Linked DNA regions of Mus musculus. The protein of the gene in region 3 purifies or fractionates together with the protein of the main gene of each other region. This does not show direct contact. Links are inferred from orthologs where the notes say so. Each region holds a gene or a part of one and is shown on either strand. Other genes may lie near its edges.

Evidence for each region.
Region 1: the proteins of Nrp1 (region 3) and Ubr2 purify together in Homo sapiens (affinity purification with mass spectrometry; 3 studies listed by BioGRID and IntAct, counting the BioPlex papers as one, with this or other methods). This does not show direct contact. The link is inferred for Mus musculus from reciprocal best matches to the Homo sapiens genes NRP1 and UBR2.
Region 2: the proteins of Nrp1 (region 3) and Kdr purify together in Homo sapiens (affinity purification with western blotting; 7 studies listed by BioGRID and IntAct, with this or other methods). This does not show direct contact. The link is inferred for Mus musculus from reciprocal best matches to the Homo sapiens genes NRP1 and KDR.
Region 4: the proteins of Nrp1 (region 3) and Bcs1l purify together in Homo sapiens (affinity purification with mass spectrometry; 3 studies listed by BioGRID and IntAct, counting the BioPlex papers as one, with this or other methods). This does not show direct contact. The link is inferred for Mus musculus from reciprocal best matches to the Homo sapiens genes NRP1 and BCS1L.
Region 5: the proteins of Nrp1 (region 3) and Plxna1 purify together in Homo sapiens (affinity purification with western blotting; 4 studies listed by BioGRID). This does not show direct contact. The link is inferred for Mus musculus from reciprocal best matches to the Homo sapiens genes NRP1 and PLXNA1.
Region 6: the proteins of Nrp1 (region 3) and Csnk2a2 purify together in Homo sapiens (affinity purification with mass spectrometry; 5 studies listed by BioGRID and IntAct, counting the BioPlex papers as one, with this or other methods). This does not show direct contact. The link is inferred for Mus musculus from reciprocal best matches to the Homo sapiens genes NRP1 and CSNK2A2.
Region 7: the proteins of Nrp1 (region 3) and Fam241a purify together in Homo sapiens (affinity purification with mass spectrometry; 3 studies listed by BioGRID and IntAct, with this or other methods). This does not show direct contact. The link is inferred for Mus musculus from reciprocal best matches to the Homo sapiens genes NRP1 and FAM241A.

Annotation. Positions count from the first base shown.
Region 1 is NC_000083.6:46,955,033-46,958,532, forward strand, and holds part of Ubr2 (E3 ubiquitin-protein ligase UBR2), read right to left. Parts: intron 2,383-3,500; coding exon 2,273-2,382; intron 2,163-2,272; coding exon 2,082-2,162; intron 1,705-2,081; coding exon 1,526-1,704; intron 950-1,525; coding exon 750-949; intron 1-749. UniProt on the Homo sapiens protein: E3 ubiquitin-protein ligase which is a component of the N-end rule pathway.
Region 2 is NC_000071.6:75,933,456-75,936,955, forward strand, and holds part of Kdr (vascular endothelial growth factor receptor 2 isoform 1 precursor), read right to left. Parts: intron 3,484-3,500; coding exon 3,384-3,483; intron 2,926-3,383; coding exon 2,840-2,925; intron 1,164-2,839; coding exon 968-1,163; 3' UTR 1-967. UniProt on the Homo sapiens protein: Tyrosine-protein kinase that acts as a cell-surface receptor for VEGFA, VEGFC and VEGFD. Plays an essential role in the regulation of angiogenesis, vascular development, vascular permeability, and embryonic hematopoiesis.
Region 3 is NC_000074.6:128,362,073-128,365,572, reverse strand, and holds part of Nrp1 (neuropilin-1 isoform 1 precursor), read right to left. Parts: intron 2,355-3,500; coding exon 2,180-2,354; intron 1-2,179. UniProt on the Homo sapiens protein: Cell-surface receptor involved in the development of the cardiovascular system, in angiogenesis, in the formation of certain neuronal circuits and in organogenesis outside the nervous system. Mediates the chemorepulsant activity of semaphorins.
Region 4 is NC_000067.6:74,586,812-74,591,088, reverse strand, and holds the start of Bcs1l (mitochondrial chaperone BCS1), read right to left. Parts: upstream 2,801-4,277; 5' UTR 2,696-2,800; exon of another isoform or gene 2,602-2,695; intron 1,604-2,601; 5' UTR 1,531-1,603; coding exon 1,211-1,530; intron 1,130-1,210; coding exon 990-1,129; intron 825-989; coding exon 630-824; intron 419-629; coding exon 355-418; intron 130-354; coding exon 1-129. UniProt on the Homo sapiens protein: Chaperone necessary for the incorporation of Rieske iron-sulfur protein UQCRFS1 into the mitochondrial respiratory chain complex III.
Region 5 is NC_000072.6:89,317,614-89,321,113, forward strand, and holds part of Plxna1 (plexin-A1 precursor), read right to left. Parts: intron 3,457-3,500; coding exon 3,244-3,456; intron 3,150-3,243; coding exon 2,999-3,149; intron 1,859-2,998; coding exon 1,763-1,858; 3' UTR 1-1,762. UniProt on the Homo sapiens protein: Coreceptor for SEMA3A, SEMA3C, SEMA3F and SEMA6D. Necessary for signaling by class 3 semaphorins and subsequent remodeling of the cytoskeleton. Plays a role in axon guidance, invasive growth and cell migration.
Region 6 is NC_000074.6:95,457,821-95,461,320, forward strand, and holds part of Csnk2a2 (casein kinase II subunit alpha'), read right to left. Parts: intron 2,969-3,500; coding exon 2,858-2,968; intron 2,354-2,857; coding exon 2,252-2,353; intron 1-2,251.
Region 7 is NC_000069.6:127,893,524-127,897,568, reverse strand, and holds the start of Fam241a (uncharacterized protein FAM241A), read left to right. Parts: upstream 1-1,245; 5' UTR 1,246-1,385; coding exon 1,386-1,535; intron 1,536-4,045.

The DNA.
Region 1 (3,500 bases), on a different chromosome or scaffold from region 3:
CCCTGGATTTGTGAAGACTTAGGTAAAGAAATGTTAATTTATTCCAACTTTCGATGGCACTAATTTATGTAAGACTCTCAGACCTTAAAAAGTGAAACTCAAGTAGCCCTGAACTGCAATGTGAGACTGAAGGTGCTCTAAGTAACAGGCCCTCCGTATCCAGGAGCTCTGCATCTGTGGGGTCACAGAAGGTAGACCAAAACGTCCAGGGGAACCCTCCACAGATGCTGACACGGCTGCCTGGCTTACGTCCTTGTCATTCTCTCATTAAACAGCATTGAACTGTGACCTAGAAATCAAGTACCTAGGAAGATGAACCAAGGTCACATGCAAATCCTATGCATGGAGCGGGGTTCTCCCCTATCTCAGTATTACAACGAAACCCAGACCCTCCCTCGCAGTGATCGAGTGTTCTGCCCGGGAGCTCTCTCTCCAGCACTACAGCAACTTGTACAGGGACTTGAGCATCTACTCTGGAGTATAAAGGACCATGATCTATCGGAATGAAGCTTTGGCTGCTGACAGAATCTAACTCCCCATCATGCCTCATGCCCTGATCTCAAAGCAGAAATGCTAAGGGCTATGCCAAGACACAGCCTCACACTCTAGCCCTGGCTGGCTTTGAACTCTCAGCAATCCTCTGGCCTCTGGGCAGGGATCACAGGTTTGGGTCATGAGGCCTGGCATGGAGGCTGCTTGTACGCTGTCAGGGCAGCTGGGTTCTGATCCGATAATGCAGCAGACCTTACCTGGGTCCGCGATGGTTTTCGTCCTGTCTTTTGACAGAACCGTTGACCTCTGAACAAACGCTGCCAAGACCATCGCCCTGCTTCCCACAGTCACCTCTTGCTCCTCTTGACATAATATACAGGTGACAAACTGTCTCGGTTCAGGGACCTGTGTCTGTGCTGGGCCCAGTGCTGTAAGAGCTGCGTCTGAAACGGGAGGGCTGCAATACAAAGGTTATGACTGTAATACTGAATGAGCCTAAGAAGTTTCTCTATAATCGTTAAATGACAGACTCCAGATAGGTACACACAACACGTGGTCTTGATGACAGGATGTGGCAGGGTTCTCTTATGTGCTTAAAGCCACCTCCACTCACAGCAACCTGCCTGTAACACACGCCAGCCCAGCGTGCTCATTCTTTCATGTCAAAGGTACGTTGTAGAAAATAACACTTTAAGCGAACACATGAATTACTCAGAGGCAGAGATCTCTTTGTGTATGTGTGCACATGTGTGTGGGGCCATGGCTCAGCCCAGGGTCACAGGACCTCCCGCTGGCCTGTAGCTGGCGTGTGAGGCCAGGCTGCCTGGCCACTGCCCCAGCCGCCTGCCTCCCCAGCACTGAGATTACAAGCATGTGCCAGCATGCAGAGTTCACTGCCTGTCCGGCGCTATTTCCCTGGCCTAGGAGTGAACTCCACTAACTGGAGGCCACAAAATTACCCACCACCTTTACTCAATTAAAAGCATACAGAGAACCAACGGTCAGAAGTCTTAAAAGCCGTTGTTCGAGTTACCTGCTGTCAAGAGTGGCAGAGGCAGAGGTGTCCAGCTCTAGGGTCTGCTGGAAGAGCTCTTTGTTTTCGTCAATGAAGTGCCGCTGCATCTCAGACATCTGGGCCATGATCTTCTCCCGGCGCAGTCTGGCGATCTCGGCTTTTCTTTTCCTCTCTGCTTTGTCCTTGTCTCTTGAGCTCTGGAATGATGCTCCATTTAGCTAGATTCTGCACACAGAGGCTACACCCAGTCTTTGCCCCTAAGCATAGCATCTGTACTATAGGCACTAAGAGCTATCTATCTTTTGGAATTTAATGTTTGTGAATATTAACTACTGCTTTACTGCAGAGAAAATTTGTTCATATTAACCTGTTAAAGTTTTGTTTCCATTATTAGTTTAGTTGCATTTTTTTTTTTTTTTTTTGAGACATAGCTTCAGTATGTAACAGTCCTGATTGGCCTGGAAAAAGTTATGTAGAGCAGGCTAGCTTCAAACTCCCAGAGATCCACCCTTGGCGTCTGAGGAGCCGGGGAATGGCACAGGCTGGCAAGCCCGCCTCTACCTCGCTCTCTTACCTCCTCCATTATGGTTCCCTCCGCCTCGGCCACAGGGCTGCTGGATGAACACTCTCTTATCTTCTTAATTGCATTAAACATCTTGAAATAAACAAACCCCAAACACTGTTATGCTGATGTTAAGAAATGTTATTATAAATAGCCAATATCTAATGCTTCTCTCAAGACACACAGCAATGTGGAAATGTTACCTTTAGCAACCACCTGATCATGTCCTTGTGGGCTTCCAGGGAGGGGGCGTTCTGCAAGGTCTCCAGCATAGCTAGGATGCTCGGGGAGTTATGTGGTGCATCACCAGGCTCTGGGAGAGAAAGAGAAGGCACAGTTAACAGCTAACACATCTTGGCGCTTCGTCCTACCAGAGAGACATGTAACTGCGTACGGCACTTGCTGCCTATCGTCTGACTCCACTTACACTGTTTGTGTATGTGTGTGCGTGTGCATGTGGGAGGTGGGGGCCAGCAGTCTCCCTCACTTGTTCTCCACTGTACTTTTTGGGACAGGATCTCTCACTAGGCCATGTGTTCAGAGATTGCTAGACTAGCTGGCCAGCCAGCCCTTGGGCTCCACCTCCTGGAAAGTGACACCTTATATCGGTGAGACAATGAATGGATTCAGAGTGGTGTATGGCTACTGGAAAATAAAAGCACCATTGAAATGTAAGATGGAAGGCACGACGCGAACCATGGAGAAATGCCGGCAGAGACAGAATACAGACAGGCTGGTGCCAGTGAAGAGCAAAGCCCGCATGCAGTGGGCAGAGGCAGCTCCCCTTCCCTGCTGCTCTTACTAAACCAGGGAGCAAAGCAGGAAACCACAGCTGTCTGGACAAACAGGCCCACTGCCCAGTCCTACTCCTCTTAAAGGACAATGGGACATTTTGTCAGCACTTAAAAGAACAAAGTTACAAAAAAATCCTTTCAGCCCAGAAATTCCTACCTCCCCATCAAAACACCATGAATTCACCTACATGGTGAGCCAGGCAGGGAAAGCACAAGTGGAGGCCAAAGGTTTGGGACCAGAGAGTGTCACAGAAACTGAATGTGTGTGTTACCACTGGGCAGAAAGTGACACAATCTGATCCAAGGAAGTATGAGCACTGCACAACAGTCACAGCAGGAGACTCACAGCTGCCACCTTCAGGAGGGACAGAATGCCTGTCTGTTTTAAAATATGAAACACAGCTTTTTCTTCTACAAGAATCGAAGCACTGCCAGGTATGGTGGCATATACCCTTTTATCCCAGCACTCGGGAGGCAGAGGCAGGAGGATTTCTGTGAGTTCAAGGCCAGTCAGGTCTACATATTGAGCTTCAGGACAGCCAGGACTACTTAGCTTGTCTCAAAAACAAAAAAAGTTAAAATATCGAATCAGGCATGATGGTATACTAGGCCTTAGCACCAGCACTAAGGAGCAACA
Region 2 (3,500 bases), on a different chromosome or scaffold from region 3:
TACTGAGGACTTGGGGGCCTGACAGGAGTGGAGATAGAGGAAGAACACCAGCCTGAGCCTTTACCGCCACTTGACAGAGAACCCTCAGACACTGCCACCAGGGCAGCCACGTGGGTCTCCACCCAGCAGAAACCCTGAGTTTCTGTTCTGTTCTCACAATTCTTCGGCCCCGTCAGGAGCCTCTGCCGACGTTCCTCTCTTTTGGTGTTCTGAATTAAGGCACAGCCTGAGAGATGAGGAAGGAGCAAGCTGCATCATTTCCTTCCTGGGGCCAGGCCAGGAGACACGTAAGAGTCCGGAAGGAACTCTCATTAGGAGTAGGAAACGCCACAGGGAACTCGCCTGTAACCCGACTGTGAAGAGCACGCAAACCTTCCAAAACCAAACCCTGCCGGCCGCCTTTGCGTTTCCTGACAGGCCACAAGCCCACCTCCACCAGAGCCAGCACAATGCATCTGCAGGCTCCAACCGCTCTCCGAGCGAGCTTGCGCCTTCCTTCCTCCCAGTCCACATCCCACACTTAACACTTGGCTCATAGCCCGCATCCTCCACAAAGCCTCCAAGGTAGACAGACTCGGCCCTGGGACATCTCACCCATCCTCAACACACAAAGCATTGCCCATTCGATCCAGTTTCACAGAGGTGCCGTTGCCACTTCTTGGAGGACAGAGCCACTGTTTGAAAGTCTTTTGCTTTAACTGGTAGTGAGACCACAGCAGGGCACATTATATAGGACTTTTAAATGAATGGAAAAGAGAGTAGAGTCAACACATTCTTGGGTCATGGGCATCTTCTCTGGAAATGCCCTGAGGACAAGCTCCTTGCAGTCTGAGGTCCCTCCTCCAAAAATGAAAATCAAATGTGGCTACTTCCGGGTGGTGGAAAGAACAACACTTGAAAATCTAAGCAGCACCTCTCTCGTGATTTCCAGGAGTTGGGGGCGGAGCCGGGACAGGACCACTTCCATTTAAACAGGAGGTGAGCGCAGTGTGGTCCCTGAGTCAGCGTGAACTGCAGCATCCACCATCTTTAAAAGTCCTGCCTCGTCGCTGGAGTACACGGTGGTGTCTGTGTCATCTGAGTGATACCCAGACTGGTAGCCACTGGTCTGGTTGGAGCCTTCCGAGGCCACAGACTCCCTGCTTTTACTGGGCATCATTCCACTGTAGAAGAAACAGCAAGCGAATGAATTAAAAAGGGAAGCCGGCTCATTTGCTTTACACAGTCACCAAAGCCCGAGCTCAAGGAAGTAGAATCCCCTCCAGAGACACTAGCCCCTCTCTCTCATTCCCTAATCAGCCTCAGACAAGGTCTACTCTCAGGTACTGGCATGAGCTAGTAGTCGCAGATAAGTCCTCTTATTCGGGTCCAAGTCTTTCAAGCTTGAGACGAGATAAAAGGCCGTTCTGCTGAGGTATGCAGAGCCCCCAACCAATGGAAGAGTTTTACAGCCTTGACGATTGACAAGTTTGTCTACAGTGATAGAAGTCACAGGGTCTCTTTCATGATATTAAACGATATCGGGATGGTCTAAAAGTTCATTTGTGTTTTTCCTGTTCGGTCACCTAGGGAGCTAAGTGGTCTATAAAAGATGTTAATAAATTTGTAGAGGGGGAGAAAAAAAAAAAAAGCTAGTGTACAGTCAGGCCAGACATGTCAAAAACTGTTTTTTACTCATCCAAACCAAATTCTTTGGACAAATTGGGGGTTCAGTCACTCAGCAGCAACTGGAGAATGTTTCCAATGACATAGTAGTCATGTCAAAGCTAACAAACGTGGGCTGTGTGGACCGAAAAGCTCGGGCTTTGCCCTCGAAGGGGTCTTATTCTTATTATTCATGATAAAAGCCACAGAGAGAGTTTGTTTACTCTGTGTTCAAATACGGTTTCATGTAAGTTCAAAGAACCACAAGTATGTTTCCCCTCCCAGCCCCGCTCTTCACTTCCCACACCAAACCAGTTTGTGTCTCAAACAGAGGCATGATCCTGGCCACCTAATAGCTCTGAGTCACTATTGTTTGAGTCAATGAAAGAAGCATGTGGTTGGTGCCCATGCCTTCTTGCTGGGCCTTAAAGAAAACGGCCAAGTTTACTGTGGCTACTGTTGTTGTATAGACATCACTCAAAAGTCCATAGGGAACCCCACCTCGTACAGCAGCTCTCTGGTGTGTAGATCAAATCTTGGGTTTTCCCTACCTAGAATGAGCCTGCCAGCAAACAAATAACTACTCTTATCCCACTCTTCTTAGAAACATAAAGATTTTTTTAATATTTAAATCAGGTACATTTATTCAAAGCCTATATATACCTGTTGAGTCATAAGGAAGAATGACTCGAATAAATTTAATAGTTTTCCCCCAACTGAAAAGGCAGTGACTCAAAGAATCATATTTAAATATATGAAATAAGTGAATATGTATGTATTTATATATCATCTTTCTTAATTACAGATAAAGCCATCTAAGTACAGGTTTGACAGTCCATCAGAGTCTGCAAAGTCTTCACTCTTCAGGATCATGGTACCTGCTGACATCTTTGCAGTTTGGCCAGGGCCATAGAAGCCACAGGTCACTCTGCTGGCCCGTATCAGTCCCATAGCCTTCACAAATGTAGTCATTAGAAATTGGCCAAATACTCTAACTTGCTTCAGGGTTTTCTTCAGACTCACCAATTTCATGGCTTAGTTTATTTTACCTCTTTATCAAATTGCTAATTTGGAATATTAATGTCATCAACCTCCAAAGGCACCAGAAAAGAAACCACATCTACACTGAATGTCTTTATTATGCCCTTCCAAAAATACGTATTGAAATATTCTTCCTTAGTAGGCTGAGTCTTACCCAAAAGATGGAGATAATTTGTTCCTGTCTTCCAGAGTTTTCAGCTCTTCTGATGCAAGGACCATCCCACTGTCTGTCTGGCTGTCCTTTTTAGGAGACAGTGAAATGACACAGTGAGTGTGCACGTGACCAGCTACTTTAAACTCCTTTCTCAATCCATCTAGCTGACAATAGGACTCAATGTCATGCCAAAGAGGGAAAGGGTATGGCAGCCAGCGACTGTGCAAGCCACAAAGGAAGCAAATGCTTCGAGGAAGTAGACTTGGGCTAAGGAGAGAGGAAAGGTCAGGATGTTGGGGTCTCCTCTCTGCACGGCGACAACATTTGCACTTGAGTGAAGTTGGACACACAGTTAAGACTATCCCAAACCTTGGTCCAGGTGCCTTTCATACGGCAAAACTAAAGATCGACCTCCCCCAGGGCACATATGCTCAAGGACAGCCTTAATAAGGTTCCAAAACTCAAGAGCTTAGGCTAATATTTATCTAGCTAGTATTTCACCCCAAGTATTATCTTTATGACTATTTTTAAAAGATGTACTTACATCTGGGATCACTTTTACTTCTGGTTCCTCCAATGGGATATCTTCAAATGTTTTTACACTCACTGGCCGGCTCTTTCGCTTACTGTTCTGGAGATAATGACTGCAAGAGAACAAATA
Region 3 (3,500 bases):
GGAGGAGACATAAAAGCACTATCTACACATAGAGTTTATCAGTTAGCATTGCTCCCAAGCTTCTACTGCATGATGTCCTGGGCTCAGCATGCGCCAGCTCTCAGAACCATTGCTGTATACACATTCCCCTCCTCCTTTTTTTTTTTTTTTTTGCAAGTGTATATGAGGTGATGTCACACAAGAAGTTGGAAAATGTCCACAGGTGGAACGATTGAGACATGAAAATGAGCAAAATCCCAATCCAGGACCTGATCTGCTTCCTCCTCAGCATGGCTGATGAATGTTTGTTACCACACCACCTCTGATGACTAGGACTACTCAGAGGACTTCATTCTGTCACACAGTTACCTGGTCATACTTTCCTGGTCAGAAATCGGTAAATGTGAGCTTATTGAAATCTAAGAATACTTTATTTTGAAGGGAAGCATGTGTTGCCAGAGTTTCTTGAAAATATCTCCTATAGCAGATTGTCAAGATGTAAAAAGATATACAACAACACAGTTTCAAAGTTATTTACACTATTAGCACTATAATAATCACTACAAAGAATATTAATAAGTCTGGTGTGGCTCAGTGATGGAGCCCTTACCTAGCATGCATGAAGCCCTAGATTTGACCCCCAGAACTTCCAAACAACAACATATTTGAAACAATGCCCTGTTTTCTAGAAGGCACTGGAACACTATTAATTCTACAATCTAGCGGTTGGGGATTTAGCCCAAGGTAGAGCCCTGGGTTCAGTCCTCTGCTTCCAAAGGGGGGGAGGGGAGACAAAATAAAAGTCAACCCAATGCTGGGACTTGAATAAACTGGAATCAGAATGCAGGCCTGTATGTCAATCATTCACAGATGCATCCTCTGTCTATAGGTTTCTGTTAATTCACTAGACAATGAATAAAGCTGAATAAAGTAGAAATCTTGATAGCCTGACTATGGAAATCTGGTTGTCACCACACTACAAAATCAACAGATTTCTGAATCCTTTGTGCATGTGGGAATGTTTTCATATCACTCTGTTCTCTACAAAAGAATAAAAGTATGAAACAGAGCAGCTTTCACCATTCAAAATGTCTCCAACACGGCTAAGTTCAAAGTAAGAATTGGCCCATGTCTTCATCAAGATTACTATTCAAGCTCAAACTGGAGACCTAACTCCCTTAAAGTACTTCAGAGTGAAATCATATGGGATCATGTGGGCAAGACACTAAGAGGTTGTCCTGGATGTGGAGAGCATTGAGCTATGAAGTCCACCTCATACAATGCAAAAGCAGAAATACCACATCTACAACCAGGATTTCCATTTAAAGTGTATGGGCATCATTTAGATGGTCTCTACAGTAAAATGTTACTGGGATAATGAAACTTTTCATAGACCAATATTTAGTAACTTCAAGTTGAAAGAGACAGACAGGTAAGGCAGATTGACTCTAACCCGATACACACCTAAATTCTCATTGCATTTATGCATTTTAAAAAGTCATATTCATAAACATGTCCACAATTAACCTAATATTTGAAACTCTTGCTTAAGCTCAGCACACTAGCAAATGTCTGCACTTGGGAGGCAGAGACAGGTGGATCTCTAAGATCAAAGCCACCCAGAACAACAAAATGAGTTCCAGGACATCTGGGGCTACATAGTGAGACCCTGTTGCAAACAAATTATCAAACAATCAACCAACCAAACAAAATAGCGATAATAACAAACCCTTTAATTCACTTGCTTTTTTCATGTCAAACTCGATACAATCTTTCAGATCAGAGTGCTGGAGTAGCTCCTGCCACAGAGCTATAGTCCCCAGCCATGAGAAATCTTCTAAAAATCATTAAATGCGCCACAGATTTGTTTAAAAAACACCCGACTCCACCATCTGCAGATCATGTATACTGGTGACCCACAATACTTAAGAAAACACAAGCCTTTTCTCAAAACCCTTTCCAGAAAGAACCACACACCACACATTTCTTAACAAAAGATTTCCCAAACCAAACGTGTCAACAGAAGGAGGACAAACATTTAAACACAGCCTGACATATTGGGTGAACTCAGCCACTTGTAACTTCATTTCCACACCACTCACAATTGAGCTCATCCGGACCCGCTCATTTACTTTCTCAGCACGGATACTCATGACCACTAGATGGTGCTATGGCGCCCTGTTCAAACTCCCTCACTTACTTGCAGTCTCTGTCCTCCAAATCGAAATGTGGGTTGAAGTTGATCATGATTCTCTGGTAGGGTTCCGGAGCTTGGATTAGCCATTCACACTTCTCACTTGGATGGTAAGAATGAGGGTAACCGGGAGATGTGAGGTACCCTGGGTTTTCGATTTTTATGGTCCCGCCACATTTGTCTGCAACAAAAATGACATGTTAGCAGATCTCTTCCCTGCAACCAGTTGAGTCTTCTAGCTTTACATGTGTATTGACAATTAGCAAACATTCTGTCAGTTAAGAGAACTCCAAAGTGTCCCCCATAAACCCTCCGTGTGACCCTAGACACAAAGTACACCACACCACTAAGGAACACTCTTTAATCTGCAGGAGCACCACATCCACAGAAAGCCTACTGTGATCTGAGATGCTTTTCCCTCACACCCAAACTTCCTTCCAAAGAAAGAGGTCTTCTAGCATTAAAAACATTAAACCCCCTCAATTGATGTTAACACAGCCCCCTGGGAGCTCCTGCTAGACTTAATTATCTTCCAAGAAGTGTAATCACATTAAGGAACCGCTCTAAGTGGAAGGTGCCTAAAAGATGCTGTGCCACTCCTTGCAAGTGGCTTTTTGATGATAAGCCTGGTCAGTGTCATTGACCAGTGGGGACTGTCTTCCAGGACTTTGATTGGCCTGAAGCCTAACCTCCTTTTGTTGTTGTTTTATCTGCCTGTAAATCTAAGTGATTTTGAGTTATCTCTGCTTTTGAGACTCAAATCAGCAGAGAACAAAGTGCAGCTGGTGATGCAGAAAGAACTCGGCTTTACTTATCCAAGTTGTTCAGCCTTGGAGACCAGATCAAAGCAATGGGGCAGAAAGAAAAATAAATAGCCACACAGCATTAATTCTAATTACTAAATGTTAGGGGAAGCCTCGGCCACTGAGGTCTGGGTATCACAGATGGTGAGCTATGTCTTCACATCCCAGGAAAGAAAAGCTCTCCAGTTTTCAACCTTTACTGAAAAACAAACCACCACCACTACAAAACCTCAAATGCTGGAGTGACTCTCTAATAGCTAAATAAACCAGACTCTGGGCTGGTTTACAATTCAGCATAGATCGCTACTGTCACTCTCTATTATGGGTTTCGCACAGGAGAGCCACAGCCTGCAAATGCCACCCCATTTATTGATGCTTAATTTTAGGCAATAAAAATTTGGTGCATAAACTATGTAGGAAGTACAGGTATGAAATATTGAAATGTATAAGCCTATCAATCACAAACATCCAGTAATGGTATATATAGATTTTAATATTACATCTAATAGATTCCCTGTGGAAAG
Region 4 (4,277 bases), on a different chromosome or scaffold from region 3:
TCTTCCAGGAGCACCAAGCTCTGCTGTGGTGCTACACTCAGTAGATGGTTGAGCCGGTCATCTGAGAGGCTAGAGTCTGTGAGGCTGAGCAGGCAGATGCTGTGTTCCAGTTCTCCAGCCAGGGCTGTTCTGTGGACAGTGACATGGAAGGAGGTCCTAGGCAACCTGAAGACTTCGGGAGTCCTAGGAGGTAGGCTGCAAAGGCCTGTTTCCTATACCACTCACTTGATATATATCTATGGATCTCATGTTTATCCTGATCCTTGCTTCCCAGATTCATTCCTCTTCTAATAATTTCAGCCCAGTTTTTCTGCAAAGGCTGTTACTCAAAGTCAAGAAAATTTGACTACTCACATAAAACTGCTCTTTCCACAACCAGGGGGCCCATAAAGAAGGTAGCCACGTCTGTAGGGAATGCCTAGGGATATAACCAGGATAAACAAGACCTACAGTGAATCATGTACTCTGGCCCAGGTGTCCACATCTACCCTCAGCTCCATTCCCTGCTAGTGGTCCTAGAGGCAGAAAAGATATTCTCATAGACGAGCTTTCTTTCCCTTTCACCTGAGCTAGAATTTCCTGTAACTTCACCTGGCTACAAACTCGGCTAGATTCCAGCTGCTGCTTACCTCTGTCAATGTACCACTTGGGGTTATCAATAAATTCCCGGATATCTTTGACAATTCGGTCAGCCAGACCCTGCTGTAGGACTACAGAATCCAGTGGCCGACGTCGGCGCGGATAACCAAAGGTACGCCATTCAGACCCCACAGCTGTGTACATCACAGTCTTCCCTTCCTCCTGCTGCAGGGCCAGTGCTCGAGCTGGGAGCAAGGAAGTAAAACAGTCCCTTGATCATGCTGATGCTTCAGTCAGGTAGAGCTCTGACCTGGTACCCTTCTCCCAAGGACTCGGATCCTTATTCCTCCTCTCCAAGCAGCAGATGCCCAACCTCCCCACTTTGATAGCCTGCCTGTCCCATCTCATACCTTCTTCCAGGATGTTGAAGAAAACCTTTCGGTCAGTGCCCAGGGCCGTGAAGGTGACAGATTCCCAAGGAGTCCCTGTTTGCAAGTCTACCATCTGCATGTCTCGGTTTCGTTCTACCCGGATCCATTTTCCCTGATACCTGAATAAAATTGTCAAAGTGACCCAATTTCCTCCATCGATCCACCCTCTCCTCAGAGCCCTACCTAGTTTCCTATCTTACCAAATGAAGTGGTTTCCAGGGCTGGGGATAAATTCAAACTTGGTGGAGATCCGGCCACTTTCATGCTGAAGGTATGAGGTTTCAACACTGAGGTGCTGAGTGCGGGTGCTGTGTCGGGTAAGCCAGCTAAGCAACCAGGCATAGCTTCTGTCTCTGGCAGGGACTTCCAGTGTGATCATGTAATGGCGCCGGAATGCCACTAGACCCAACTGGGCTCCTTTCCGGGCCATAGCCAGAGCCGTACCCACACCTACCAGCCCAAATCCAGCCCCAAAGTAGGGATTGTCTTTAAGGGCCAGAACAAAGTCTGAAAATGGCATCTTGAAAAGAAGCAGCACAGATGCTTATAGGCTCTGAGGCACTGTCAAAACCGAGGGATGGATTGTAGCAGAACTGGAAGAAAGCATAAGACTAGTATAGAAACTAGACCAGTCAATCTTGCTCCGCTCCCTCCCACAGAAGCAAGATGGACAGGTCAGCAGGACTGTGTTTCAGTGGAGTAGGAATGGTGTTGGAATGCCACAGCAAACACCCCAGGCTCTTCAATCCATTTTGCTCTTCAGTTAGACCTTTTGCCAGAAGGCCATTTTGGAGAGTTTCTCAATTCCAAAAAGCAATGTACCCAGCTCCACATCAGGATACTAGAAAGGCAAGACTCTGGTCCCTGGCAAGAGCTAGACAGAAGGGTCCCCACTGAATGGAATCGGCAAAGGTGATTTTTCCATTGCTCTGTCAATGACCACATGCCTTACCATCAGAAATGTCTTTCAAATATCCTCTCCCTTACACCCCGTTCCTAATGTCCTGTACAGACATTTATTACTTCTCACCTAAACTATTTCTTGCAAGTTATTTTGGTTCTTGAGGTGATATTTGAATGGACCTTCAGCACCTGCATCATCCAAACCCACCAATCCCAGACACGCTACAATTCTGTCACTTGTATTCCAGCACCCTTGGTGCCTTGCTCCCATTGGGTTCAAATACCACAGCCGGATACGCAGGGATGCCTACATTAGAATGCGTACCTTTACTAGCAAATCACTACCTACTTCTAGCTCTCTCAGTTCTGTTGGTACCGAATGACCCCCACCCCTTTATTCTAGGCATTCTTTTTCATTGAGATCATATAGTCTACTTCTTCCACGGAGCCTTTTTCTTTTTCTTTTTTTTTTTTTTTGGAGCCTTTTTCAAATTCAACCCAATTAAGATGTGACTAAGCCTAACTTAAGACAATGCCTAAGGGGACAAAATGGCAATTATTTCCAGAACACCTCTCCTTGCAACACTTCTCCACTGCCACTCCTCTGCCTGGCACACCGGCCCACTGGTGAATTGACAGCCGTGACCTCCGCTAAGGCTCGGAGCTGTGATCCAGAATTCCAAAGCACCTTTGCATGGAGAGCCGCTGACGAAGATCTCCTGGCCCCCGGCTCCCGAACCCTGACACACAGCAGCTGACTCCCGGACACCCTATACACAGACCTGCTCGCGCTTCCAGGAACGTGGGAGAGAGAAATCTGTCACTCCGCCCCCTTCCCTCCATGACTCTCTGGCCCTCACACTCGATGGTTTCGCCGGGCCTACGAAGAGGCAGCGCCGCTAGTCCCGCCCCGGACTGCTGCATCTACTTCCGGCCACACCCACCACGGAGTCCTTGCCACTCTTCCCTGCAATTCTCGATGGTTCCGCTTTGGGGCTTCAGAAGGGGGGTACTCAAGGACATAGAGGGGAAACCATAGAGTAGCACGGGCCTTGAAGAGAGACAGAGTGGCTGCCACACGTCAGATTCCTAGAGGCGCCTGGGCCGGGGGCGGCCACATCAAAGGCCCCCGAGGAGCCACTCCAGTCCCAGTCGGACCATAGAGATGCAGCTCCCGCCAGCCCACGGGTAGGAGGTGAGAGAGCGGCTGTCGGCGGGAACCAGGGGAAGTGCGGGCGCTGTGAGCTGAAGGTAAAAGTTTCTCTAGCTCCAGCTTGAGTGGGCCCTGGAGGTGGAGCCCGCGGGAGGAGGTGCTGCGGGGAGCGCGCCGGTGAGAGGGGCGCGGGCGCATCTCTGCTGGACTCGGGCGTCTCAGTCGCGTCACAGCTCCGGGCCCCGCCCGGGTATCCGCTGCCTCTCCTCAGGACCAGAACCGTGACGATGCATCATCCCAAGCCTTGCAGGTTCCAAAACGCCTTTCTCCTCCGCTGTATCTCGTGACTTGGCTGTCGCCCCACAGTGTAAAAGCTGTCGTCGCCGCCGCCTCCACTTTACAGACAGGAAAGCTGAGGTCCTGAGAAGCGAGGCAAGTGCATCGACTCAAGGCTACACGGTGAGTCAAAGCCCAGAGGCGCGTGGGAACTGAGGTGCCTACGCAGGGTTGCCTTGTTCCCCAGGCTTCGGTATCCCTTGCTTCTCCAGTCTCAAAAGCACGTTACTTCTTTCTGGCTCTCTCCTACCTCCTCCCCCGCATCTTCCTGAGGCCATGTGATGGGCTGGAAGACCGCCTAGAGCAGCAATAATTAGTAGTCCGTGGGGGCTGTGATTTCCAAAAAGCCTCGCTGACCACGGAAGTGCACTTCCCTGCCTCCTTCTTGAATTGCTGTCTGTTCCTGCTGTTATGCTTTTTAAAGACATATTTGTTTATTTTATGTATGTGAGTACACGGTTGCTTTCTTCAGACACAGGAGAAAGGGCATCGGATCCTATTAACAGATAGTTGCGAGCCACCATGTGGTTGCTGGGAATTGAACCCAGGACCTCTGGAAGAGCAGTCAGTGCTCTTCATCACTGCGCCATCCCTACAGCCCTCGTGCTGTTTTTACGTGGAGGGATTCTGTAGAATGAGAACTAGCCACTCTCACCTGGCACATACTCAGTGACCCAGTTTTGTTTGAAACAGGGCCTCACTGTTTAGCTCTGTCCTGGAACTCACTATGTAGACCAGGCTGGCCTCAAATTCACAGATACCTGCCTGCCTTTGCCTCCTGAGTCCTGGAAGTTTAAAAAGATTATCTCATTTATTTCAGTCGAGTTGAACAGGACATGCAGTTTAATACCTTTGTTTCTCAGTTGTGTTCCCAC
Region 5 (3,500 bases), on a different chromosome or scaffold from region 3:
ACCCTAGTATCAGCCCAGGGAATGAGCCAAAGAGTTGGGGTGGGAGTCTGACCAGAATTCATGGCCCAGGGTGTCTAGGCTCATGACTACCACAGAGGAGTTGCTCCCTGAGTCCTTGTACCTGCCCCATAGCTAATAAAGGTGCAGCTCTAATCTGACCTCCACCCTGTCCCATCGGCTCCCTAGCTTGGAGTGTGAGGGACCACAAGACTAGCAGCCCATGGATGTGGGGTGTGCTGTCCCCAGCACTGATAATGGTCCTGGCCACAGTTAGCTGTCCCTTAAAATCCATTATAATCTTTAGTACCATCAAAAAGGTGAACTTGAAAAGGGAGTAGGCCGCTTGCTTGCTTTTCCAATGACTAATTAAAAAAAAAACATTTAAAAAAAGGGTCTAACCACCTCTAGTATTCAACACTTGCAGTTTGAAAAGATCAACTCAGACTAAACGCTAGCACAGTCATGCAGGTCCACAGCTCTGCACCCAAAGCTCGGGGCACGGAATCGTGGGCAGCGGCTTCTTCCATCTGGGGGAAGTAGAGGCCACATCAGATGGCAGCTCCAGGGCCCTTGGTTTTGCTCTCTTCCACCTGGGTTCCTCCTGAATTGCCTTTCCGTGTCTCTTCCCTCAAATAATTGTACAGCACCCCATTGGGGCCAGGGCCACACACACATATATATATATACACATACATACATATATATATGTACAGGGTCCATTAAAAACGTACTGTTGCTCCTTGAGGGCAGAGGTGGACACAGTTGACCTCCAGTCCCTTGGGTCACTGCCCATGGTCAGCAGGGTGGCAGAAATGCCCCCCACATCCCCAGGGCAAAATACCACAGGATTTCTTGTTCCCTTAAAAGCAGTACCCAGATGTCCCACTGCAGAGGGGCCAGGACACCGTTGAGAGGCCAGACTGGAAGCCACCGGGAACATCAGGGGAGGGGAGGATAAAGGATGGTGGGACGGTGGCCTGTTATCCTCCAGAGCTCCGTGGTGGGCTGCGATAGGAGCAGGAGGCGGGGAATAAATAACGGGAACATGCACTCTGACTGGAGCCCCAGGACCAGGAGCTCCCAGAGGCACAGCCCTGAGGACAGAGAAGGGTTCGCCTAGCCATTGTCCACATGTCACTTGGAAGTGGGGTCTGCAGGCCCTCCATAGGAGGGGAGTGGGGCCTCTCTCCCCAGCAGAAGGATGTGGCACTCCAGCCTTGGCCGCGCAGAGCACGCGGTGAATCTGAGGGTGGTGGCAAGCACAGGGTGCTAGAGTAGAGGCTGGTGGGACAGCCCCAGGCTGTGACTTATGTGGCCTAGCCTTGGGTATCTCACCTCTCCCTCAGACTCTGCCTGCTGGTAGCAGCTGAAGAAGCCAAGAAATGTGAATTGGTCCAGCCCCTTGTCCTGCTGCCCTCCTTCTGGAGGGCCTGGCCTTCTATCTCGGCCCCTCAGAGGCCACCTCTCTCTCAGGAAAACCACTAGCAGCTCTTGCCAAGCAGCAAATATCCCTGGGCAGAACCAGCCACGCTGTGCTATCCTTGCCCCACGGCAGCAAGCCCCAGGCACAGAGGCGGCTCAGCAGGAACCCTTACATCCACAGCGATAAGAATTGGCCCTGCATGGCAGGGAGAGGAAGGCGAGGGCCAGGACCCAACCACAGCCCCCACACCTGGACTTGGTACAGGTGGGCCAAGGGCTGTCTCCTGGGTCCTCTGCTGCCCTCCTGCTCTGCCTCCTGCTGGGTGGGCACTTCCAGGGCTCAGCTGCTCAGGGCCATTGTGTCCACCACCTGCTCCAGTTTGCTTCGAAGCCGCTGCCTTCGAGCCTGTTCATCTTTCTCCAGAGCCACCAGAATCTGCAAGGGTGGGGTGAGGGGTGGGATAGGGTCAGAGTCAGGGTTAGCTACCCACAGATATGGGCTGGAAGCTCTAAGGGAAGCAGCTGGACCAAGACACATGACCTTGGTGTGTCTGACTCCCAGTTCCTAGCTGTGCCAACAGTTCTGATCCAGAGTACTACAGCACTTGAGGGTGAGCCCCCAAGCTCATTACCTCCACCCTCATCTCCCTCATCAACAGGCTGTGGCTCCTGGCTATGGCCTCTCCCACCTTGCCCTTCTCAGGCTTCTGGGAGTCTTCTACGGCAGTGTTCCACACCCTGCTTCTGATGTGGCATGGCCACTGTTCTCTACTGTGGCTGGGTTTCTTATGCTCTTCGGTTGTCTTCTCGAGTATCACACTCCTACCTCAGTCTATGTGGGAGCTCAGGCCCAGCCTCCCATCCTATCCCTTAATCACTACAACCTGTGAGCCCTTCCATGGCTGGTTTGAACCCGGAGCCCTTCTGAGCCCAAGGCTTCACGATCTTAGACCTGTCTCTGTGGCTTCCCACCTCCAGACAAGCTGCCTGGCTATCTACCTCACTGGCTCAGCACAGCCAAGCAGACCATGGTCTCCCTGCCTGTCTAGATCTATAAGAATCCATCAGGCTCTGGGACACAGCCAAGCTCCAAGCCTCCACACCTAGGTCACCCTGGTCTGTATATCTTCTGCCTCTTCCCAGGTGGGCCCTAGCTCAGCCATGTAGACTCTATGGATCTTGGCCTGCCAGGCCCTCTCATTGCCTTGGCCAGCACTGCCCACACATACCCAGTCCTTGGCTATTGGTACCCATAAGCTCCAGCCCAGAGTCAGAGACAAGTTATCCCAGAGAGAAGAGGTAGGGGAGCTGCTTCTTGGCAAAGGACAAGGAGCAACCTTTGCCAAGCCCAGAGATACCATCCAGCCCAATAAACTACTATAGGACCACAGCTATCCATTCCAGGAAACCACTGTCACCCTGTCTCCCCACCCTGCCCCAGAGAGCCTTCTTTGTGCCCAGAATCTCTGATTTTCTTACTAGCCCTAGGAAAATCTGGGCTGTCAGATACAGAAGCAAAGCAAGTATTGGGTGAGCTCTGAGACATAGGTGGAACTGGGGTCGGGGAAGGACGCACCTCGTCCTTGTACTTGGCGATGTAGGAGTAGATCTCGTGCAGGGCACTCATGCTGTTGAACTGGCTGAGATGCAGCCGGGACTGCTCTGCCAGGTAGGCGCTCATGTCTTGGTCACTGATTGCAGGCATCTTGGCAATGTCAGCATAGTACCTGACAGTAGGTAGCAGGGTCAGCATGGGTGGGGTCACAGGGCCTACTCACCCACCAACCTGTGGCCCCTGCATGGCCCCTGCTGGACACCTACCTTTCAACCCAGCTCTTGTAGTTGGGGATGTCCTTGGCATAGAGCAACTTGTTGGAGGGTGAGTCTTTGCCCAGCTTGTGCTCTGATGTAGAGCAGGAGTCCATGAAGGTCTGCGCTACCACTGAGAGGCAGGCATCTGTTATGCTGTTCTTGTGGATGTCGAACACGAACTGAGGGTTCTTAATCACATTCACCCAGAAGCGCAGAGGCAGGCTGTGGACAAGCAGGCCCAAGAGTGCTCAGGATGGCCATTCTGC
Region 6 (3,500 bases), about 33 Mb from region 3:
AAATTATACAGCCATATCCTACGTTGGCAGAAATTTTTATAATTAATGCAACTTGAAGTTAAAATTTTACATTGATATACAATTTATAGAATAATACAGATTTAAATTTCTTATATTGATACAAGATTTAAAATTATTATTGTTACTCTTTGATAGGCATTGTGCCTGTACAACTCTTCTAAGAATACAAGGCTTGGACCCAGTCCTTCTAATAACTCCCGTTAAAAAGTGTTTAGGGGTTGGAGAGACAGCTCAGCGGGTAAGAACACTGACTGCTCCTCCAAAGGTCCTGAGCTCAAATCCCAGCAACCACATGGTGCCTTACAACCATCCGTAACGAGATCTGACGGCCTCTTCTGGTGTGTCTGAAGACAACTACAGTGTATTTAGGTATTAAAATAAGTAAATAAATCTTTTTTTAACTTTAAAAGAGTAAAAACAGTGTTTAGGATGATTAAGTAATACAAGTCAAGGGCTAGATTATATTATATTCTGATTTAATTATAATAAAGTGTTTTTAATTTACTCAAATAGAAATGACTAAGAATAGTTAAGGTATAACAGTTCAGATATACTTTAAATAGATAGACAGTCTTCTTTTTTAAAAAAAGATTTATTTATTATATGTAAGCACACTGTAGCTGTCTTAAAGACACTCAAGAAGGAGTCAGCTTTTGTTATGGATGGTTGTGAGCTACCATGTGGTTGCTGGGATTAGAACTCAGGACCTTCGGAAGTGCAGTCAGTGCTCTTAACCACTGAGCCATCTCTCCAGCCCCCGACAGATAGTCTTCTGTGGACAGAAGTCCACAGAATACAACATTTAAGGCCATTTCATTATTAAAGATCATTTGACTAGAATCTAGTCTGCTCCTGACTACACCCCTTTCTTGGTTCAAAGAAAAAAATTAAATATCAATAGAATTGCTCCAGTCGTGGAGAGATTACCACTAGGCAAAAATTGCCTCAATTCATCTACAAAAATACTGTCCAGGAAAAGGTCATACTATGTGAAATAGTTGACCGGTAGCTCTGCCAAGCAAGACAGGGTAAGCAGTCCTTCACAATTCTGCTTTACAAAAGTCTGTCAGATGATCCTGGGCCAGAAGGCTCATTATATATTCGGATTTAATTATAATAAAGTGTTTTTAATTTACTCAAGTAGAAATGACTAAGAATAGTTAAGGTATAAATGTTGGAGACTGAAGCTCTAACATTTTGAGGAATTAGGGACTGTCCAGGTAGTCAGCTGTCTCTACAAAATGTTTAAATTTTGGAAGCTATCTCTTGTGCTTCCTATATTTTCAGGTAATATTTAAGTCATTTTTGGATTTCTGATGGAGTTGAAGACTAGTTATAGTTTCATAGCACTCAAACTGTTTAACATTAAGAGAGATGATACAGATTTGAGAGGATGATTTTCAGATGGTAATACAAGCTAAAACCAGAATATAATTCAGATATAAAATTGTAAGCTTTTAAAGTTAGGATAGATGGTAGAGTGTTTTATCTAAATTGACAATATGACAGACTGGGTTTTAAATATATCTTATACTTTCTAAATTGCATAATAGTTGTACTCAATTTATACGAGGGGGAAAAAAAAAAGGGAGAGCCCTTTAATTGTACAAAAAGGGGGAAACATTGTGGCTTGCCCTGGTGCTATTTGTATTCTGATGTTAACTCTGCTTCCTCAAGAGGGGCTGCCCGAATAAGGAGTGGATCATGTGCTCAGGTGATCTCATGTGAACCTTCTCCTCATTCTAACTGGTCAGATAAAGGCTAGAGCCTGTGATTGGGCAGTGGAAGGGAAAGGTGGGGCTGGAGGTTTTAGAGAGGAGGAAGAGAAGAAAGAGGAAAGAAAGACAGAGGAAGAGGAGGTGGAAGATGGAATAGTACCACGTGGCCTGGAGAAGCCGCAAGTAACAAGGGATCTCATAGATGGGCGACAGAGTAGTGTAGCGGTAAATGTGCCCAATCTAGCTGTGCAGCTTGTGAATGCTGTAACTGAGTTGTGTGGTTTTTGCTCGGACATATTGGGGCTGGAGATTTACTGCAACAAAGAGATACCTTATTTCTTAGACCCATCTTGAAGGTTCAGCATAGACAGCAAATGTCTGCATGCTTTGGGATTTTGTACCACAGACACAATTCTGAACAACTCATCAGCTTACATGGTAGCCCATATATAGTGAGTGACATTCATGGCTCAAATGTTATATCTCTAGCATTTATAACATAATCTGCTCACCTGGTCATAGTTGTCCTGCCCGTGGAAGAATGGCTCCTTTCGGAATATCATGCTCGCTAACATGCAGCCCAAGCTCCACATGTCCAAGCTATAATCATACATCTGAAGGCAGTAAGGACGGTCGATCAGTCAAAGATGGCTAGAAACTCTTTGTACTGATGGAGTTTCTAGTACTCATCTGACTCCTGAAGATTGGCCCGTATTTCTAAGGCACTAGGGTCTTATACTTATCAGGCAAGTTCCATTCTTAGCCTTTCTGAAGTTATAACTAAAAGTCATTCTTTCCTTAAAAAAAAAAAAAGGGCAGCAAGAGGCTCAGCTGGTAGACTAAGTATCCAAGGCTGCCAACCCCAACAACCTAATCCTTATGCCAAGAACCAACATGGTGGAGAGAACAAACCCCTCTAACCCTCACACGTGGGCTGTGGTACAAGTAAGCTTATACATACATAATGAAAAAAAATTTAATGTAGTTGAGAAAAAGCTTTATAGAGTAGAATAATAACTGGGTTTTGTATGAATCCATCGACTACATAGCAAACCAGGAAAATCCCTAAGAAAATATAAAATTAATGCAGAGCAGAGCAGCTTCACTGACACGCTCACCTGATAGTCCACAAGGAGCTCTGGTCCCTTGAAGTACCTCGAGGCCACTCGAACATTGTACTCCTGAGCAGGATGATAGAACTCTGCCAGACCCCAATCAATCAGTCGGAGCTATAAGAAAGACAAGAGGAAACAGACCATGAAAGATGCCCTTGGACATGCCCATGCCTGTGGTGAGGCCACAGCACGTATCTATAACAGGTACTTGATCACATAGAGTAGGAGTGTACCCATGGAAGACTACACTTCAAGAACTGCAGATGAGGTCATTTCTGGAGCACTTGGAATGTTTCCGAGTTTTTCCCTTTAAGTTACCCTGGTCTTTTACTCTCTCCAGATCATCAGAACTCAACCTTGTTTCTGCCTCCATGCTACTTACATATGGAACACACTCCCCCATCACTCACGGCTGTTAACATGAGCTCCAGGCAACACTGAAGGACATGTATGGCTCCCTCCAGGCAGAAGCACTGCACACTGCTCTAACTGGTTATTAAGCTAACACTGGCTGTGACAGCCAGAGTTGGAGGGCCCCAAGTGTATCTCTTAGGGCTAGTTGGACTGGAATGATCATGAAGAAGTGACGTAGAAACCACTGTTGTAGTTTCTTCCTAAAGCCCTGTCAACTCTAGAACTAAAATAA
Region 7 (4,045 bases), on a different chromosome or scaffold from region 3:
TCTCTCTCTTACCAGTCGCTGAGAATTTTTAAACCATTTCTAGAAATGCACACTACGGCAGAGAGACCAGGAAATGAGCCCAGGGCTCCCACAAGCCACACACACTAGGAAGCAGAGAGAAATAGGCATGGTCACTCAGAGATGCTTAGGGAGAGGAGGCAAAAGGGGAGGAACAAGCGACAGAGAGCCTGCATTCCTTCCTAGGCACAAGCAGCCAACAGCACACCCAGGCACAGCTGAGCGCCCGCTGCAGCTGGTATGGAGGGATACTGTGTGTTTGGGTGGTCTTTCACACTCCCAGAACCTCTTACATGTGCCCACACCTTCATGCACACAGCTCCCTCTCATATGAGCTTCTTATTCTCAGTTGCCCTCTTCTGTATACCTACATCCTCACACAAACTTTCAACACCTATGATCTCCCACACTGTCCTGTCACAAAAGACTCTGGTATACAGTCTTCCACAATCTGTTGTGTACAGGCACACAATTAGACACAGGCTTTTATAATACTCTATCAGACAGGGTCTCATGCATCTAATGGTCTTTTTCATATAATCTCCTGTAAGCACTTGGTTACAGTCTGTTACAATGTTTCTTACACACACTTTCTCACAACACATAACTTCCTCCTCCTCCTCCTCCTTCTCTCTCTCTCTCTCTCTCTCTCTCACACACACACACACACACACACACTAAACACAACATCTAAGTGTGTGTATGTGTGTGTGTGTATAGTTACTCACACACAATCACACATGGGCTCTCACATGCATTAAAAACCTGTCAGATACAATCTCCCTCATGCACCTATGGCCGATTTCATACATAATCTCCCTCATGTAGTCTGTTACAGTGTTCCTCACCTCTGACACTCTCTCTCTTCCTCTCTCTCTGTCTTTTACACATACACACACACACACACACACACACACACACACACCACAGGATATCTGTCTGTTGTGTACAGATAGTTACAGATACACAATTTCACAGATGTCATATACTTTAATAGGTGTCAGACACATACAACCTCCCTCAGGAGCCTATGGCCTCATTCATAGTTTCATGCACTAACTGGAATAATGCTACACCTCCCTTGGTTCCGCCCCTCCCTGGCCCCGCCCCTCCCAGTACCCTGCCCAACCCACCAGGTCCCGCCTTCATTGGGCCGCGGTCCGCTATGGCCCCGCCCCTCCTCCCGCCCCCGCCCCCGGGGTTCCGCCCCCGAGCTGGGGGTGGGGCGAGCGGCTGACAGGAGGGGCGGGCGGCTCCTGCACTTCTGGCCCCCAGGCCGGCGGGCGCGCTTCTAAGGATTCCCGTGTGCGTCGGGAGTCCCGGTGTGGCCAGCGGCAGCCGTGCGGGCGGCCGGAGTCGGCGGTGGGATGTGCTCGGCCAGGAAGCTGCTGCGGGGCGGCGCCGGCAGCGCCGGCGGGGAGTGCGACGAGGACGGGGCGGCGCCGGCCGGGCGGGTTGAGGAGCCGGAGCACGGGGCGAGCCCGCGGCGCCGGCGGCCGCAGGACGAGGGCGAGCAGGTGAGCGCGGGCGCGCGGGCCGCGGGGTGGCGGCTGGGCACGCGGCGAGCGGTTGACGGGCGGGGCCGGGCTCGGTGGAAATGCCCTCCGGAGCCTCACCTCAAAACCACCCGGCAACTTGCGCTACGTGGGCGCGCCGTGCGCTCGAATTCCGAGCACTGCACGCGCCCTGGACGGGGTGGGCGGACGGCCCGCACAGAGGATCGGGAAGCACGGGTCGGTGCCTAGGTGACACCGGGACTCTCCCAGAGCAAGTTTCACAGCACCACCGAGCAGAGCTGAACTTCATTTTAGAAGTGGAAAGGAAAAAAAAAAAAAGAAAATTGCCTGCTGTGAGCACCAAAGGGAAGGAAGCTTTAGTAACAGACATAATAAGGAAACTGGGTACTTTTAAAGTTCTCAGAATTGGATATCATTGAGAAGACTAAGGGAAATTATAACATCAGATATCTGTAAGACTAGACTAGCAGTTGAATGTAAAGATGGAGTTCTACGTGGGACGATTTTTTTTTTTTTTTTTTTACAGGCAGTACAGTAATTAGCTACTCAAAAATCCCCCAGATACAAAGACCTTTAGAAATCACATAAGTAAGCCTAGACTTCTGGAATCATCAGTTAATAATACCTGTAACTTGTCCTCTAATATCACTAAGTACATTAATAACTAAATACATTAATAAAACCCATTACTTAAGAAACAAAAATAATGCTAATGTGGGCTTGATCACCGTGTAGACAGTAATTATTCATCTATGTGACAATATAGGAGCCAGTGACTGAAGCAAATAAATTGGTAGCTAGGAGATCTTGCTGGTGCCCTTGCGGGCGGTGTTCTTACCAAACTGTACCATGCATGTCTCAATAGAGAAGGTCTTGATTTCCTCTTACTCTTGCTCAACTGGAAAACACAGCCAGCAACTAAAACTCCCTTTCCAAAAGTAAATGTGCAAATGGTTGTAATGGCATATGTGAAATCCTTCCCTTAACCATCTCTGGACCTTAGCAATACAATGACATGGACAGCGCCAGGAACTCTAGTCTTACTGATATTGTTACTAGAACAAGGAAAGGGGATGAAACAAAAAATTAAATATACATTCTAGAGAATAGATACCCTATCACATGCCTGCTTCCTCTATTGTACTATGAAATTTCATTTTCCTGCCTGCTTCTGCATGTTGCTTGTGTCGTTGTAATTTTGCTACATACTTTACCTGTATACTCTTAAGTCCTCACACTCATGGAAAAAAACACACCTGAGATCCTACTATATCAGCACCTGGGAACTTCTTATCAGGAGCTCAGAACTGGTACAGCCCAACTCGATAATGCAGAAAGCAAACTTTTGTGATCAATCGTTTGGCAACAGTATCACAAAGCCTATCATCTAGGGTTTTGTTTTGGTTTTTTTTTTTTTTTTTTTTTTTACAACCTGCAAATGAAATTTAAAAATCCATGCAATGTCACATAGATAGAGCTGTTTTTGTACACATACTATCTGAAGGAGAATTAGAGTTAACAACATAAAACATTCCAAAAAGTCATTTTAATTTTTCATCATGGAGATATTCTCCTGTTCTTCTTTTTGGATTGGTTTTAAGGATACCAGAACTCCAAATTATAAATTGAATAATTCTGGAAAATTCCTTTCTAAACTATTTAAAATTTACACAGAATTTTTCCATAGAAAATCAATGACAGAAACCAAAATGGAAGCAAAACTAGTTAGGTTGAAAGGAGGCAGTGGCCGTTTTCCTGCCGTCTTTCTGCTTAGTGTATTCAGTTGCTTTTCCAGAGCCTCAGCCTCCTAGACATTGAGAGGGAACTGAAGGCCACAGCCCTCTGCAATGCCTTCTTCTCTTGGGCGGGGCCAATGTGGTGGGTTCCAGAATCTGCTTTTTGTCAGTTCCTAATCTTACATGTTCTATCCTGTTCGCTTTCTGTTTCCTTTTCTGATAAGAAGCAGGCTGGGTTAGTTCCCAGCCTACAGTCTCCTCATACATCTCTCCCATCTCTGCCTTTCTTCTGTCTGGAAGGCCCATTCCCTCAACCTGGAAGACTTGTATAAACATGTATCCAAAACTTCTTTTCCCTCTGCCTTGTTGTTGCTAAAACGCCCGATCAGAACGCACCTTCACTTTACGTCCTGAGATTCTGAAACACGGCTGTGGATACAGGTGGTTTATTTGTAACTAACATATTGTCAGCATCATACTTTACAGTTTGTCCTTAGCCGAGACTCCATTTGAGGAAAAGCTAAGCTAGCATTTCAGCCTGAATCCTTTCCCAGGCGGGATGAGTGACAAAAGAGGTCTTGTTAAAATCAAGGATTCCTTAAAAAGGAAGCCTTGAGAAAAAGAAGCTGTGTCCCACGAGAAGTACAAGGCCAGCCTCTAAGAGAGATAAGAATTCTAGAGAAGGAGTAATGTGTGTAGCTATCCAGGGAACCGGGGAGTCTAGACTTAGAGAGCTGTGTCCACATGAATTTGTAATTCTGTTCAGGAGAGATG